Linked DNA regions of Oreochromis niloticus. The protein of the gene in region 1 purifies or fractionates together with the protein of each later gene. This does not show direct contact. Links are inferred from orthologs where the notes say so. Each region holds a gene or a part of one and is shown on either strand. Other genes may lie near its edges.

The links. The genes of interacting proteins can lie anywhere in the genome.
Region 2: the proteins of adrb2a (region 1) and usp33 purify together in Homo sapiens (affinity purification with western blotting; 3 studies listed by BioGRID and IntAct, with this or other methods). This does not show direct contact. The link is inferred for Oreochromis niloticus from reciprocal best matches to the Homo sapiens genes ADRB2 and USP33.

Annotation. Positions count from the first base shown.
Region 1 is NC_031966.2:29,906,467-29,914,184, forward strand, and holds the start of adrb2a (adrenoceptor beta 2, surface a), read left to right. Parts: upstream 1-4,288; 5' UTR 4,289-4,469; intron 4,470-4,760; coding exon 4,761-6,020; 3' UTR 6,021-7,718. UniProt on the Homo sapiens protein: Beta-adrenergic receptors mediate the catecholamine-induced activation of adenylate cyclase through the action of G proteins. The beta-2-adrenergic receptor binds epinephrine with an approximately 30-fold greater affinity than it does norepinephrine.
Region 2 is NC_031982.2:25,335,294-25,343,078, forward strand, and holds the start of usp33 (ubiquitin carboxyl-terminal hydrolase 33), read left to right. Parts: upstream 1-4,692; 5' UTR 4,693-4,881; intron 4,882-7,785. Other genes in the region: miga1 (mitoguardin 1), read right to left, coding at 686-784. UniProt on the Homo sapiens protein: Deubiquitinating enzyme involved in various processes such as centrosome duplication, cellular migration and beta-2 adrenergic receptor/ADRB2 recycling.

The sequences.
Region 1 (7,718 bases):
ATCTAAATCCCAGTAACGAGTAACGCGTTCCTGGTTTTGGCATAATAACTAGTTACCGTGCTCGTTACCACAATAATAACGTAGTTACTGTAACGCGTTACTTAATAACGCGTTAGTCCCAACACTGGTCATCACAGTATTTGGCCTTTAACCTCCTCAAACAAGAGTCTAATTCGCCCTTCTCTTTGTATGTTTGCAATCAATGAGGCAGAGAAAAAAGTGACTCCCGTGAGACTGGCAATTCCTCTGCCAGGTGAAGAAAGACTTCCCGTCTCTAGTTTACCTTACCCTTAGATATTAGCATTAGAATTCAAGTACAAAAATTCTGTACACACAGTAAAATGTGACACTGTAACAGGTGTTGGGAGGGGGGGGCTGAGTAATTTGTTGGGCCATCAGGTCAGCATCACAACTTCAATAAAGAGAAGTAGGAATTGTACAGGAGATGGTAAAGAGATAAGACACTTTTAATGTGACAGTGTTTGACTAAATAGAGCAGTGCACAACATCTAAGTGCAGACAGGACCCAAATGTGAACCGGTTCTGCCTGGGAGTGACAGGATACAGGAAAACAGATGTCACAGACTGAGGAAACCAGTTGTGATTAATCCAACACTGGAACAAGCTTTCCAAAACAGAACACAGAACAGAAATTTCATTTACAATTAGTGTAGGTTATTGTACTGCATATTTAAACTAAATCAATGTGAAGTTTAATATGTACTGTGTTTCACTTAGTTGTCCACATAGGCCTACAATTACAAACGAGCTCAAGGCCTAAATCCAGCATTCTCAGACAACGCTAAAGCTGATCATCCAATAAAAAGCTTTCTTGATATTATTTAAAAATCTTTTTTCTGCATTAAAAGCAAAACAGAAAAGCTCCTCAAAGTAATACATGAAGGAGAAAAAAGCATTTGATGCCTATGCTGTACATTATAACTTACAATCTAACTGTTGGAAGGTGCTGATAATATACTGACGTATCTTTAGAGGCTAAGCATGGTGGGTTTGTCATGCATGTTGTGCAAGAGATAAGACTATGGGGGTTACTAAAATCAAATGAGTAAAATGAGCTGGGGGTATTTCATGGCACTATTTTTACCTGCTGATCCAGTGGGAAAGCCCAAGGAGTGGACTTTTGATTTCAGAGCAATGCATGTTTACATTTTTCCTCTTTTTGGGGCGCATGTGGAAGTTTAATCCTCACAGTAGTAAAAGGAAATAGATTAAAAGGTCATTAAAACATCTAAATGAATTTTGGGAATATGACTACTGGTTTTCATGGAAATCTGCCAAGAGAAGTTGTCATATAAGCAACATATGTAACGAGACAAAAGGTCACCAAATCAATTTAAGTCTTCCTATGAATGCCTATGGAACATTTTCGAGTAATTCACCCAGTAGCTAGTTACTGACATTTTGCCTGGAACGTTTACTGTGAGCAACAAAGTTCAAATTAGTCAGAAGGCACCATGGTTACAAGCAGTATGCAGCATGTCTCTGACCCGTTTTTGTTTAAAAAGTGGGACATAGAAAATCATATTTGTATAAATAAGTACTGAGATGTCTGTGTAAATGCTGAAAATTGGATTTGCGCATATGGATTGAGTGGTTGGATTTGCTCTTGCGTCATCAGTCATATAGGCATTTGTCAAAGCTCCCTTGGAAGTGCACAGAGGAAGTACAGTGCCTTTGGCGTCTGCATTCTTTGAAGATCAGAGCTCTGGAAACTATCATCACTTCCCTTTGTAAGCTTAGCGTGGACCTGTACACACTTGAAAGCACCCACAGATAACTGAGACACACTTACCTCGACCTGGGATTTGAAATGTTGGACCAGTTGCTCAAAAATGACAAAAGCACAAGCTGTAGCTCATTTTCACTGCTGTGATGCTGATAATAGAGCAGCCTAATTTTCATCAAAATGTACAGTCATCTGAACCTGGTTAACAGTGTGTTCCACACATAACTCCATTCCACAGTACTGTCACTAAAATCACTTCACTCATCACTGATCTCCCGTTGGTTAGGCTTGAGAATGCCATTGGCAAAGCTCATATGTGATGTGGTATTTAAGCCGTTTTACCTTGTCTACCGTTACTACTTCCTCTCGGTCTCATGAGTACAAGCAGGCTGTCAGTTATCACACTTCATTTACTCTAATGCTTTCTGTGTCGATCACCATCATCAGGATTCGCAGCATCAGCAAGCTGAAGCAGAAGCAGCAGAAGCCATTTGGAAAGCACTCGGACTGGACGTTGCCAGTCTTGACCAAAATTCAGTCACTATCTAAAACATTAGTGCTATCACGTGCTATTGCAGTCTACACTCGAGTTTGCAATTTGTCACTATTGGTGAAAACTGATTCTACCGTTAAATCATCTTTAATAAATCTTTGTTAGCTATTTTACTTATCTGCCACAAAATGTAAACGAGAAGTCCACTGTTGAGCAGGGTCATGTCAGGGCACGTGTTTCTAAGCAGTTTTTGCAGTGTGGCGTGGCACGCTGTCAGGCTAGTGGTCACTGATTTTGACAAGTGGTATTGTAATGTAGTGGTAACCTTTGGTAGCACGCGTCAAATTAACATAAATGCCAGGCCCTAGCACAACATTGCATTTTAATGATCAGTGTCATTCACTTCGACTGTCAGGTGCTTCAGTGTGGAGACTAACCGGTGTAGGCTGAAGACACAATTCCATTCGTATGGCTCAACCACTTGAAAACTACCGCTTTGTTTGTTTGTACATCTGTTACACCTGCTAGCACACTTTTCAGAGTCTTCCTATGTTAGCTGAAACAAGCAAGTGAAGTCTGTGTTTACAGTGTAATCACTCTTATCGTGTTTGCTGCTTTTACTACTTTCCCTGCCTCAGGCTTTCCATGTATATACATGAAAGGGCAGGAGGTGTGTTTCCCTCTATGTTAGGCTTTTCAAGTATCCATGTAGAATGACGGGGACGTCCAACAAAACAACCAAATGCAAATTGTTGTAGATGAAAAACAGACTAACCTGTATTAGTATATTCGAGTGTCTTTTACATAGACACTACAATGTATAAGTATGAAGTTATTGTTAAGATGCCTAAACAATGAAAATGTTATTTATCTAGCTCTGAAGATTTCACTGTTTGCCTTTTAACTTGTGTAATATAATGTAAATGTACAAAAACATGGGAACAAATTGCATCTTGTGGCTGCTAATTAACTTAAACGTGGGATCAACTTGATCAGAACATTGGAATGTTTATTTAAATAAGAAATAAAGTTGCTGTTCATAAAAAACAAACACATAAACAAATATAAAATAATTTCCATGCTCAAAGATTTAAAAAAAAAAAGCTATACATACTGAAAGTAATTGTGGTAAAACATCCTACTTAGTTGTTGCACAACCAGGTCACAAACCCAAACAAACGTACTGTGGTTTAGGTGCTCTGTAGCTTTCTTATCAGCCACGGTTTGGCTGAAACACAGATAACAAAGTTCTCTGCATCAAAATTTAAATAGTATTTAAGATACATATATTAAAAAAAACAAAACAAACAAACATCCCAGTTTTTTTATGATTTGCACAGAGCTACTTTTAATATATAAATGCAAATTTGTCCTGAATCCTGAAAACATTTTTGTATCTTGATAAGGTATAGCGTGACAGCTTGTCCCTGTCAAACTGGCCACACTAGTGGTGCAGTCCTAGACTAAAATTATGAGGGACTCTTCCCTAGTTTGACTTTTAGACATCTGTACTTGTAGCATTATGTAAATCTAAGTGTTTTCATTCTGTGGTTACAAAAACTAAACGGGCTGTAATATACATTTAAGTATGCGGGCAGTATTTAAGTTCAACAAGTAAAATAGGTCAGAAAAAAATATACATAGTTTTAAAACATTACTTTGACATTAAAACATAAAAAGGTAAAGCAGAAAGCTGAGCCTGTTTTCAATATGAAATATGAGCAATGAGTAAGATCTGTAAAGCAGCTATTACACATTACCCCCCCCCCTCCAAGTAGTTTTGCAGTGCCTAACTTTAAGTAGAGTCTAATTTTAAGCACAGTGTAGACCTTCTAAAACTAATTTCACACTATAAAAAAAAAGATCAATCTAAGGAGTCCTTTACTTTGTTTGCAGTTTTTGTCTCATGCAGCCCTGCAAACACCACTGTAGGGACAGCGTGTTCAAACTCTTGAGAGCTCTCTGCACCCTCCGCAGGCTGGCTGTCTGATTGGCTCAGCACTGACCATGATGTCATCACTGCATGCTATAAGGGCTCTGACAAATAGCCTGGGAGACACATTAGAAGAAACACTGCTCAGCTGAGGGACTGAGTGAGTGAGACACGCGTAGATCAAGTAAAGCAGAAAGTAGCTGGGACATGTGATACTCACTGCTTTGTGGGAACTACCTAAACAGTGACATTTTACTTTGTATGGGAGCCAGGAAACACGACTGCTACCTGTGGAGGTTTGTACTTCTGCTTTTGTCTGGCTTGTTTAGCATGTTTTAAAGCTTGCTTGAAACTAACTGGATATACTGAGTTTATGTATGTGGGTTTTGTGCGGTAAGCTTTGGTCTCCTTTTTCTTTTTTGTTAGTGCTAGATTTAAGTGCATGCATTTTTTTTCATTTTCTTTTGTTGTAATTAGGCAGAATTAAAAAAAAAACGTAATTTGTAAAATTCACTCCTTTTGTTTGTGTGTGTGTGTGTGTGTGTGTGTGTGTGTGTGTGTGTTTTGTTCATATGTGTTCTCTTCAGATGGGAAGTACAACCAACTCAGAGTACACCAATATGACTGCAATGAACTCGTCATCGAATTCAACTGGGACTGATGAAGGTTTCAGTGCCCCTGTAATGATCCTGCTGGGCATGGTCATGTCCTTATTAGTTTTGACTATTGTCTTTGGCAACATCCTGGTCATAACGGCAATTGCCCGCTTTCAGCGTCTCCAGAATGTCACCAACTGTTTCATCACATCGCTTGCCTGTGCCGACCTGGTCATGGGTCTGATTGTGATTCCTTTCGGTGCCTGTAAAATTATCTCTAATAATACGTGGTACTTTGGTAATTTCTGGTGTGACTTCTGGACTGCCACTGATGTGCTCTGCGTGACTGCAAGCATTGAGACCCTCTGTGTCATCGCCATAGACCGTTATTTGGCCATTACTTCTCCCTTCCGCTACCAGTCAATGTTGACCAAGTGCAGAGCTCGCTTTGTGGTGGTGCTGGTCTGGGTGATTGCTGCACTGATATCTTACCTGCCCATCCACATGATGTGGTGGACTGCTGATAATAAGGAAGCTGAAAAGTGTATAAACCAAACTGATTGCTGCGAATTCCACACCAACCAGGCTTATGCCATCACTTCCTCTATCATCTCCTTCTACATCCCTTTGGTCATCATGATTTTTGTCTACAGTCGAGTTTTCCAGGAGGCGAGGCACCAACTAAAAAAGATTGACAAAAGCGTTGGACGTTTTCATAACAGCGACATCAGCAACACTAATTCTCTGGAGGCCAATAATGGGCGTGGCCTTAAAAAGGCGAAGTTTTGCCTTCGGGAACACAAAGCTCTGAAGACTCTGGGCATCATCATGGGGACCTTTACTCTGTGCTGGCTGCCCTTCTTCGTGCTAAACGTGGTGGAGGCTATATGGGCTGTGAACAGCCCGACCACCTTTATGGTACTTAACTGGATAGGTTACGCAAACTCTGCCTTCAACCCACTTATTTACTGTCGGAGCCCTGAATTCTGGTATGCATTCAAGGAAATCCTGTGCATGAAGAGGAACCGCCTCAGCAACCCTGGACCTGTGAATGGATACATCTATAGCAGGCACAGCTGGCAGAGTGAGCAGCAGGGGAGGAGTAAAGGTAACTCAGAAGAGAGTGACCCCACTGAAGGGTTTCTGGGGAAAGGAGCAGGGGTCTGCAGTGTTGTGGACAGAGCAGTGGACCCCAACGGGAATTGCAGCAAAGACATAATGACTGTAACGAGTATAACGACTGTCCTATAAACTTGAAGCACTGAGACTTCTGTCAACAAGGAAATCCAGATATGTTTACATTGCTATTGTAAACTTTTTTTTTAAATGGCTGATGAAGGTAAGGCCAGTCAAAAATGACTGACAGAGTCTCTGGAGACTTTAAAGAAACAATAACTCAGCTGTTCAGCTGAGTAAAGTGTCACTTTTCCTCTTCAAACACAGTGACACAAAACTGTAGGTCTCTCACATTTCCCTTTTGTGTGTGTTTCTTGCATTTTTTTTTTTTTTGAATTTTCACATCTACCTCATCATACCTTTTCAATATTTGCATCTTAGCTGACCATCTGTCACATTAAGTCACTCTCCGCAGGAGTTAAAGTAGGGCAGCATCTCAGCAGTTTATTTACTCTACTAAATGGCCTGTGGATTGTATGACTGCTAATTGTCTGGCTTCAACTGAATTTGTAGCCATGTTGTTTATCTTTGAGCTGGAGAAAGATCCCACAGTTTTTATTAGCATAAAATGTTTCAGAATTTCAAAGGAGAAGCGGTCGGAGGTTGTAAATTTCATCCGAACGTGCCAATTTGGCACAAAGAGCAAAGTAATCAGAGAACGATTGAAGGTGAAGGGTTAAACGTAATACCTCTTCGATGCTTTGCTTCAAGAAACACATTCCAAATTGACCGAGACTATAATCTGGCATCCTTTACTTTGCTCTTTTTTTCTTTAACGATTGTCCAAATCTGAAAAATGATCCAAAGCAGGTGTGGCAAAACCCGTCTCAGTCGCTCTGTTTCACTCCTCAGCAATGTTACGAGGCCCTGTTCCCTTCTATAGTGTATTACAGTCTCTTGCATTTGAGTTTCCATTGCGGGCGGATAGCACTAGAGATATGAAGCTTCACAGTAATCTATGAGTTACTGATGAAACCTAGGTCAAAGTGAGGGTGGTCAAAACTTGCAAGCATGTATATGCTGTCTAAGCCAGATTCCGCTGTCAGGTCAAAAGATATATGTAATCTTTCGGTGCAAAGTGGATGCCATTACAGATAATGCGGTTAATCCTGAGTGTTGACCTTTGAAGCTTGCAGCTGTTATTAACATAAATTCAAAAGTGCACATTTTAAAGTTTGCTATTGCACAGTCAGAACCCATCACTTCTTGCATTCTGTTAAGTGGCCGACTTATGTGCTACATGTGACTCAGTACATTATGGCCATTACGTAAGTGTAAGAAAAACTATTCATCTTTCCTTTTCCTTCTATGCAACAGTTACAGTAGCGCCCTTTGTTGCACAAGCCCTATTTATTTATTAAAATCTGTGGTTGCTCTGTTTCAGCATGTACACTGTTTACTGAAACCAGAGAAGCCATTTCCTTAGTCATGGCACAAGGGTACAAACCACACGTAATAATAAACAGTGTGTCAAAATAGCCAAGCGATAACAAAGTTCCACACCCAAGATGTGGCGGTGGTGAATATTCAGGGTAATAAAGATAGATGAGAGGAAGAAAAAGAAAACAGCCCTGAGTAGCGCACCACTGTCACGGCTCTCTCACAGGTGCCTCCGCCGTTGTAAAATCAGTTGCAAATCAGAAAACCTTTGGATAAGACACTCAGGAGTCCATAGAACAGTGCCTTAGCTGTTCCACTTTCTGACATTAATTCTCTAATAAACAATGCAGGTTAGAATAAAATCCGAAGGGGCAATTTAACATGAGATCAGAT
Region 2 (7,785 bases), on another chromosome or scaffold:
CCGAGGTGGTCAGTATCTCTCCATCACACGAAGCTTTTAGCTGAACAACTAAAATGCTCAAACAGGTGGTAGACGTTCACATGTAAACAGATACAGCTGCTGGCTCATCTCATCAGGTTTTAAAGGAAAACGATAAACAAGGCATTTCCAAACCCTCTCACAGTGTGTTCCTCTTAATAGAAATATTTTGTACTACACTAATCAATTAAATTGAAAAAAAGAGTGGCAATATAGGTCAAAAGAAAGTGAATAGTCTATATATAGTTCCGAGTTTTCCTAGTATTTATACTACATGTTTTGATACCATGTGCATAAGAATGCATATTTTTCAAATACTTTTTAACTATTTACCAGATTTGTGGATAATATAAGATTGTTGCAGTTTCACATTTAACTAGGGAACAAGAACTATTATGAGCCAAACTTTTGCCTGGATCATAGGAAATGTTTAATGACTGTTTCACCTGATGGATTTCTGAGTACATCTGAGTTTTCTAGCCAAGAAAAAAAAATACAGACATGTATGACAAGCATGCACCCCAGGTTTCAATCCCAAAACGCTAAAGCCATTGATCTGAGGTGGGAGGTGGGGGTTAATATGAAGTGAATAAATAATTCATTCTTGTAAACCAGGCAGTATGGATATTCTGACAGCTGCTAGGAGCACGTTGAAAAGCATCCTCACCTGTGTCAGGGAGCTGTAGACAGACAGCGGCAAGTCAACCATACGCAGAGCTGCAGTCCTCATGGACAGCTGTGAGCTTGTGAGGGTCTCATGTGTCATTGTGACGCTCTGCCCATGACTTGGCAGCTCCCTTATCCTCAACACCGCTCTGTGCAAGCTGAAGAGGATGACATTAAGGGATTTAACCTTGGAAGCTCAGGAAGGGGATATAATGACACTAATACACAAAGCTGTTGGTATTCTCTATGTACTGCTAGGAATACCTTGCTTAAAGTGAGTGCAGCCAGTTTTAACTGCATAATATATAATTAAAAGTCGGGGGGGAAAAAAGCCTGATAACATGCAAACTTTCATTCTTAAATATCACAAACAAGAGAATTGCCATGAAAGAAAAGCCTGTGAAATGTATCAGATGCAGTGGTGTCAGTTAATTAAAACAAAACAAGTCCAATCTGATCCCAACCCTCTCAGGAACAGCTCATTCTTTGTACATGTAGCCATGGAAAATTAATTTATCTTCATACTATGAATATTTTCCGAGTTAGGAGCCCTCATAACTTGAGTGCAACAGACTGAAACATGACATTCTCAGGGTTGAAAAACACCTTCCAAGCTCGGTTAAAAACAACCACCAAATCACGTTTACACCCAGTCAAAATGTCACAATTTAAGCCAAATACTGCTCACAGATCTAGGCTATAAGGTGAGCCTGTTATCACAATGTAGGTAAGAAGAAGATATTTCATATGATACAACTTGTTTAGGGTGGTCGCCCTTTAAAACTTTAATGCAAAAGAAACTTTCTTCAGTGAAATATCGAAAAAAACGGACAACACATTTGGAGTACTGAGAAGTTGAATTTCTGTACTTTTGCTGTTGAAGCTATGATTTGTTGATTTTGGCTTTAGAGTGTGACACTTTGACTGGGTGCAAAACTGATTCTCTTACAGCTTTTAAAAAGCTGAGAAAGTGTTTCTAAACCTAGAAAGCTTCATGTGTTTATCTCTTGTACTTAATTAGTTATAAGGGCTAAATTCCTGGAATTTTTTAAAAAAACCAACCCGTGTTTACTTTGAGGACTGTAATAATTTTAATAGCATTAAGGTAAAAAACGAAAAATATTTGTATTACTTAATTAAATATGCACACTTCCATCTAACAGCCAAGTCTAAGTCTGCACAAGACACTCACAGCTGAACGATCCAACCATTGAAAGCCAAGCCTGAGCCTCACACAGTGCTCGTTGTTAGTCGTAGATGTTGAAAGTTTGCTTGTGTAAGGGTTATGATGTTTGTCAGAAGTATGAGAGTGCATCTGAGAGCCTGAAACTGCAATAACAGAGGTAAAAAAACCCAAACAAAACAAAACCTTGTGATTTTCTAAACCCCCCCCAACTTAAAAAAGTCTAGGTAAGCAAAGGAAAACTCTTTAATGTTATATAGTTTTAACATAAAAAGCCTTCGAACTCTACATTAATAAGAGTGCGTACGGATTTTCGTTTTTATTTTAATTAATTATTCCTTTATTTCTCATCTATTCTGAATCGACTTGCGTATTATTATATTAATTGTGATATTATTTTTAATGTTAACGGATTTTATCTTCCTCTTCAGTAAGTTTATATAGCAAACAAGACACAATAAGATCCCCCCCACCGCCCCCGAGGAGCATCTAAAGTGTTTTCACTGGGGCAAAACGCTGACACCGGTATGGATAATCACATAAGCACATGGTTAAGAAACGCCAACCCGAATAGCTAACGGCTAACAAGGCTAATAAAGGCTACCGGGGTTAGCTAAATCTATTAAACCAGCTGAAAATAAACACTGTGACAGACAAACTCGAGCTCATCTCTTAGCTGAATGGGACAAACTAAAAGCATACATGAATTCAGCGGTACCTTTTTAATACTCCTCCGCAGACACAGCTCCACTGTTTCACTTAGTCCTCAGGCTGACCTCGGCTGCCGCACAGTGAAGGACTCTAGCACCAGCCTGGATTTTCAAAATAAAAGCACGTTCCCGCTCAACGCGACTGTGGGCTCCTTGCGCCCTCTTGCGGTGTACCTGGATACACTACAGATTACTATGTGTATCTATCAGAAATATTAACAGAAAAATCAAGACAAAGTTTTTGTTTAATTGGAGACTATCTTTTAGTTTACAGACATAAGTGAGAGAGAAAATTACAATAAAGAAAATAAGAAAAATAAAGAGGAAAACAAAGAATCAAACGTTAATTTAAAAAAGTGTGATTTTAATCTTTACAAAATGTACTGAATTCTAAGCCGTGATGGACAAAGTTTCACCATATTCATGTTTTAAATTCGTACAAACAAAATGAATTAGTAATTGATAAACATGAAAATTTTCTTCTTCTTCTTGCTGCTCCCTTCAGGTGTAACCACAGTGGATCAGCCTGCCTCCATCTCATTCCATCCCCTGTCTTCTGTCACAACAACCCTCTACAACTACAAAACTTCCTCTTTTTCGCCTGCCTGGCAGCTCCATGTTCAACATCCTCTTTTTAATGTATCCACTATATTATAAATATATATTATATATAGAAAGGAAAAGCTGTGTCTTTCAAAGTCATCTATCAAAGGAATAAACCCGAGGAACTGGAACAAAAAGGGCTTTTTGTTTATATTGTGTAAACAAAAAGGGCAGAAATGAATAAATGAAAAAAATAAAGAATGATTATCACTGAAATGAGATAAGAAATACTACCAGACCACGACACAAAAATCAGCCTGTTGTTCCAGATCATGCACAGCTGCTCCTCATCAAGACGTGTGGTGGTTGTCTGTGAGGAGGAAGGAATTGTTACTGGAAGCAAATAAGGTCTACTATTGAGGAAAACTTATGCAAATGTGTGTGCAAAGTCTAAAGGTAAAGGTTGGTGCAAAGAACTTGCTGTTAAGACATGATTACTCACCTGTCTTTTCTGTCCTATCCAGGGTGTTTGGGCAAATGTTTCCCTGGGGTCCGGACACCATTTAAAGGTTCTAGGAGAGGCCATGCATTAAAGGAGTGTGTTTTTGGTCTTCCTCACTGTAGATCCAGCTGCAAAAGGCCACCTTGTCACACAGACTCGGGATCATAGATAGAACTTTGGGGCTGATGCCATCAGAGAAAGCAGCCTTGCTCTGGTTTAGTTTCTCCAAATGTATATTAACTTGTTTATTAATTTATTCTTAATGTATTATTTTCTTTGGTATGTGTTTAATCTTTTTTTATTTTTATTTTTTAAGAAATCTGTTCTCATTCATAATATGCTGTGTGAAACATGGTGGTATAATAACTCTCTACCTTTTGGGTTATTATCTTTGCATTGAATCAATTATATAATCATATATTTCTATCACCATGTTTTGCTTTTTGCTATTTTTGTAAAGCTGTAAAATAATAATAACAATCTTCATCATTTACTTGGCCAAAAAGAAGTGGACAGCAACACAGTTGAAATACTTAGCAGTCCAGCTGTATGAGCATCACATTGTAACATAACCGCCCATTAAAGTTTATAATCCATTTATAAGAACATTTTGGGACATTAGATGGTGCCACTGATATAGTGATAGTGGAGCTTTTCTACTGGTGACTCTGGGGTGGATGGATCCCTGCAGAGGGGATTTCTTCACTATGAAAACACTAGATGGCGCTTGGGATGGGTTTATTACAGTGCATGTTGTCTTTAATGATCACCAAATCATTCTTTTTCCTTTATTGCTACCCGTTTTGTCCTTCATGTAAGTGAACTGTAATAAGTTTAAAGACGCTGCTAGTTTTTTCTCTAACAGTCCATAACTGTCCCATCACATCTGATCCTCAATATTGATAAGAGCGGATCACTAGGCTCAAAAGATAATTAATATTTGCTTTTATGTGACTTACTAATTGAATAATCTACAGTGAGGCTATAATGCTGTTAAAAACAAAAAATTATAGACCGTATAGGATTAAAAATCAAACGTGCAGCAGGATGGGGAGGGCTCGTATGTTTTCTTTAAACCGGAAAAGAGGCGGGGACAGCAGTAACGTTAGCAACCACGCTGAGCGACAGGGACGGTTATCGTTAATGTGAAGAAAGGACTGCACTCTAATATGTTTCTCTAAGTACAGACTGAGTTTATGTTGCAGACCGGGAGTACCATCCGATTCACCTGAGAAGCGGCGTCCCTTGGTACCGAGCAGGTAAGGCCGAAGGCTGACGTTGCGGCTGACTGTGCCGTAGTCACTGTGGGATTGTCCCCGATCACAGGAGGCTAACGTTAGCCAGTAAGTTGCGCACGAGACGGCTATCAATGGCGAACCATTTCACCTAAACACTGTCTCTGGAGGGTAATACGTTCACCTTTTGTTGTTTTTCTATGCTCCTTGTGGGTATTACGTCAGATAAAATGCTCTTAGGATGGCCGTTAGCATGCTAAGGTTAACAGCGAAATAGTGCTAGTCAGCCCGTGACGCTGTCAACGCCTCGACTGGTTTTGACAGCTCACTTTGTACAAGGCCGAAGCCACACGCATCTGTAGTATTCACCGTTTTTTTATCTACGTGAGGCTAAACCACCCGCTGCTTTAAACCAGGGTAGTTAAAACATGGCCCTTTTTAACTGAGTTTTTTTTTTTTTTTTTTTTTTAATATTAAGGCCAATGCTACCCATTTGTAGACAGTCTGTTGTTAAAGTGAGCTGTTAAGCTTTACATGCGTTGTTGTTGTTGTTTTTCCGTCTTCCGGTGTTTATTGTGTTGCTGCTTATCATTTCAAAATTTCCCTAAAGATAACAGCTACAGCCACAGCCAGCATCGCTGCTTTCGTTAGTGGTGCGAGGTTCGGGTTAACGCCCCACCCTGACCGCGCCACCCCTTTGTGCACAGTTTAATATCATGTAGTATTGTCACGTTGCTGGCAGAGGCAGTGAAACGGTGCGAAGAAAGGTTTGTTAGCCGAGATACTCTTCCTATCACCAGCTTTACGTAATCTCACGAGGCTTGACAGTGAAACTAGCTTCTAATCAGATTTTCCTGGTGTCTACTACAGAGTTTAAGGTCACTTCAGCTTTTGCAGGGATGGCCGCAAAGTCCAGGCAATTGCGAGGAGCCTGGTAAGATGAACCAAACCTCGCCCTGTTTCACTTTGCAGGGATTTAGTGTTGGTATGAAATGAAATCAGTTTCAAAGGCGTCATTGATTATTAACTTAGACCTAGAGACGGTTTTGATGAGGGGAGGAAGCAGGCTTATTGACTTGCACGTGACTGAACATGAACTTTTCCTATCTCCCAGTCGACCTGTTGTCTTGACCAGATCATGACGCTACAAACACAGACACAGATGCAGGGTTTCTTTTGCATAAATAAACCTTTGGCTTTCCACCTTTACTGTGATAAACATGATGTTAACAACTTTGTTTGAAAATTGCATACACTTCTGTTAATTCTTTTGTCTAACAATATGCAGAGCAATTGTGCTTATGTGCATTGTCCCTCAAAGGCCCACTCTGAGCAGGAAAAACCCTAAAATATTTGCCATCTTCCTACTGTCAAATATAATATCTGATATCTAATGTCAGATATTAAATGGACTATCATTGTTTTCTCACTGCTAAGATGATGGATGAATCAGCAGTTCTAGTTTTGGGGATCACATTTTGTCAGAAATAAACTGATTGCTTTCAATTACTTACGTGAACTCAAAATGTTTACCATCTTCTGCTCAAAGACAGACCTGGAACTAATTGTTTAGTCGCCGAGTATTTTATTATATATTTTTTTGGGTGATTAAAAACAAGAAGACTTAAAATTGAAGAGGAAACATTTATGTGCTACCTGGATAGTAACCCAAGCATTGTCGACCCGTGGTTTTGTGCCCAGAATGGCTATTGGATGATCCGGCCTGGCTTGTAATGATGCATCTACATGTGCATCTTTCTTTCATCTGCCTCGAAGAGTAATATTAGTGCAAACAGCACTTGGAACAAAACACAAAATTGGCTTCATGTCATTAACCACAACACTGACGGATGAGATGGAGCTATGTCCTGTGTGTACTTCTGAGGGTTCCCCCCCCCTCATACTGTTGTTGTTGTCTGTGGGCTGTAAAATGGGGGAAAAAAAAAAAAAAAAAAAAACAATCAGAGAGAGGGAATCACAATGATCAGCTTTCTCTCTTAACCCTGGTTTTCTGCTTCAGGCTCTGTCGACTCTCACTTGACTGCGATTGAGTGCCTCCTGCTTCGGTCAGAGGAATTCCCGATAAAAGTCTATAAAGGATATGGAAAAAAAAGACAACTTTTCTGCAAATAAGCTGAGAGTATTACTGCAGAAAGTCATTTATTTTGTGACTCAGTGAATTAATATTTATTTTGTCACTCAGTGCACTTTCAGCGCAACAGTTATTAAAAACGTGACTGCTACACATTTGAGCTCTGAAATGTTAAACTGGATCTGTAGAAACATTAAAACTAACCCGGTGTGTTTACGCCTGATTCTGTACCACAGCTTAATGATGGAGAGGTAGAAATCACTTAGACTATGGCCAGATCAAAGTGAAATGGAATATTTTTGGTGACAAAGTGTTTTTGTCTGTGTTAAACAAACTTTGGAGGAGATTGGGAGAAATATGAACTTTACTGCAGGCCTTTATTTGATAGTGTAAGTAAGCTGTGACTCAATAGGTTACATGTAAATAGAACAAATTCCCCCAGTAAAGGATCAATATCATCCTTGGACAATGTACACCCAACTGGTCTCTTAGGCCAGTAGATCAAGCTTTTACTGTCTCCCACAAAGTAAAACATTTGATTGTTTTATATACTCCTAGTTTAATACAGAATATAGAATGATTAATAGATTTATAATTTAGATGATTAATTTATATCAGAAAAGGTAGTTCTGGTGTGGCAGGTGAACAGCTGGCTCTTCTCATTTAGACAGACTGTTCAACAAAGGACTTTTACTGGTGTTTTAATGGAAAAATACTGACTGGAAGAAATAAACAAGTCATTAAAAAGAGTTCATTTTAGCAAGGTTTCTTCAGAGGGGAATAAATCAGTGGAAACTAGGGAAGAAGGTGATATAGGTGAACTTCCAAGAAACAAC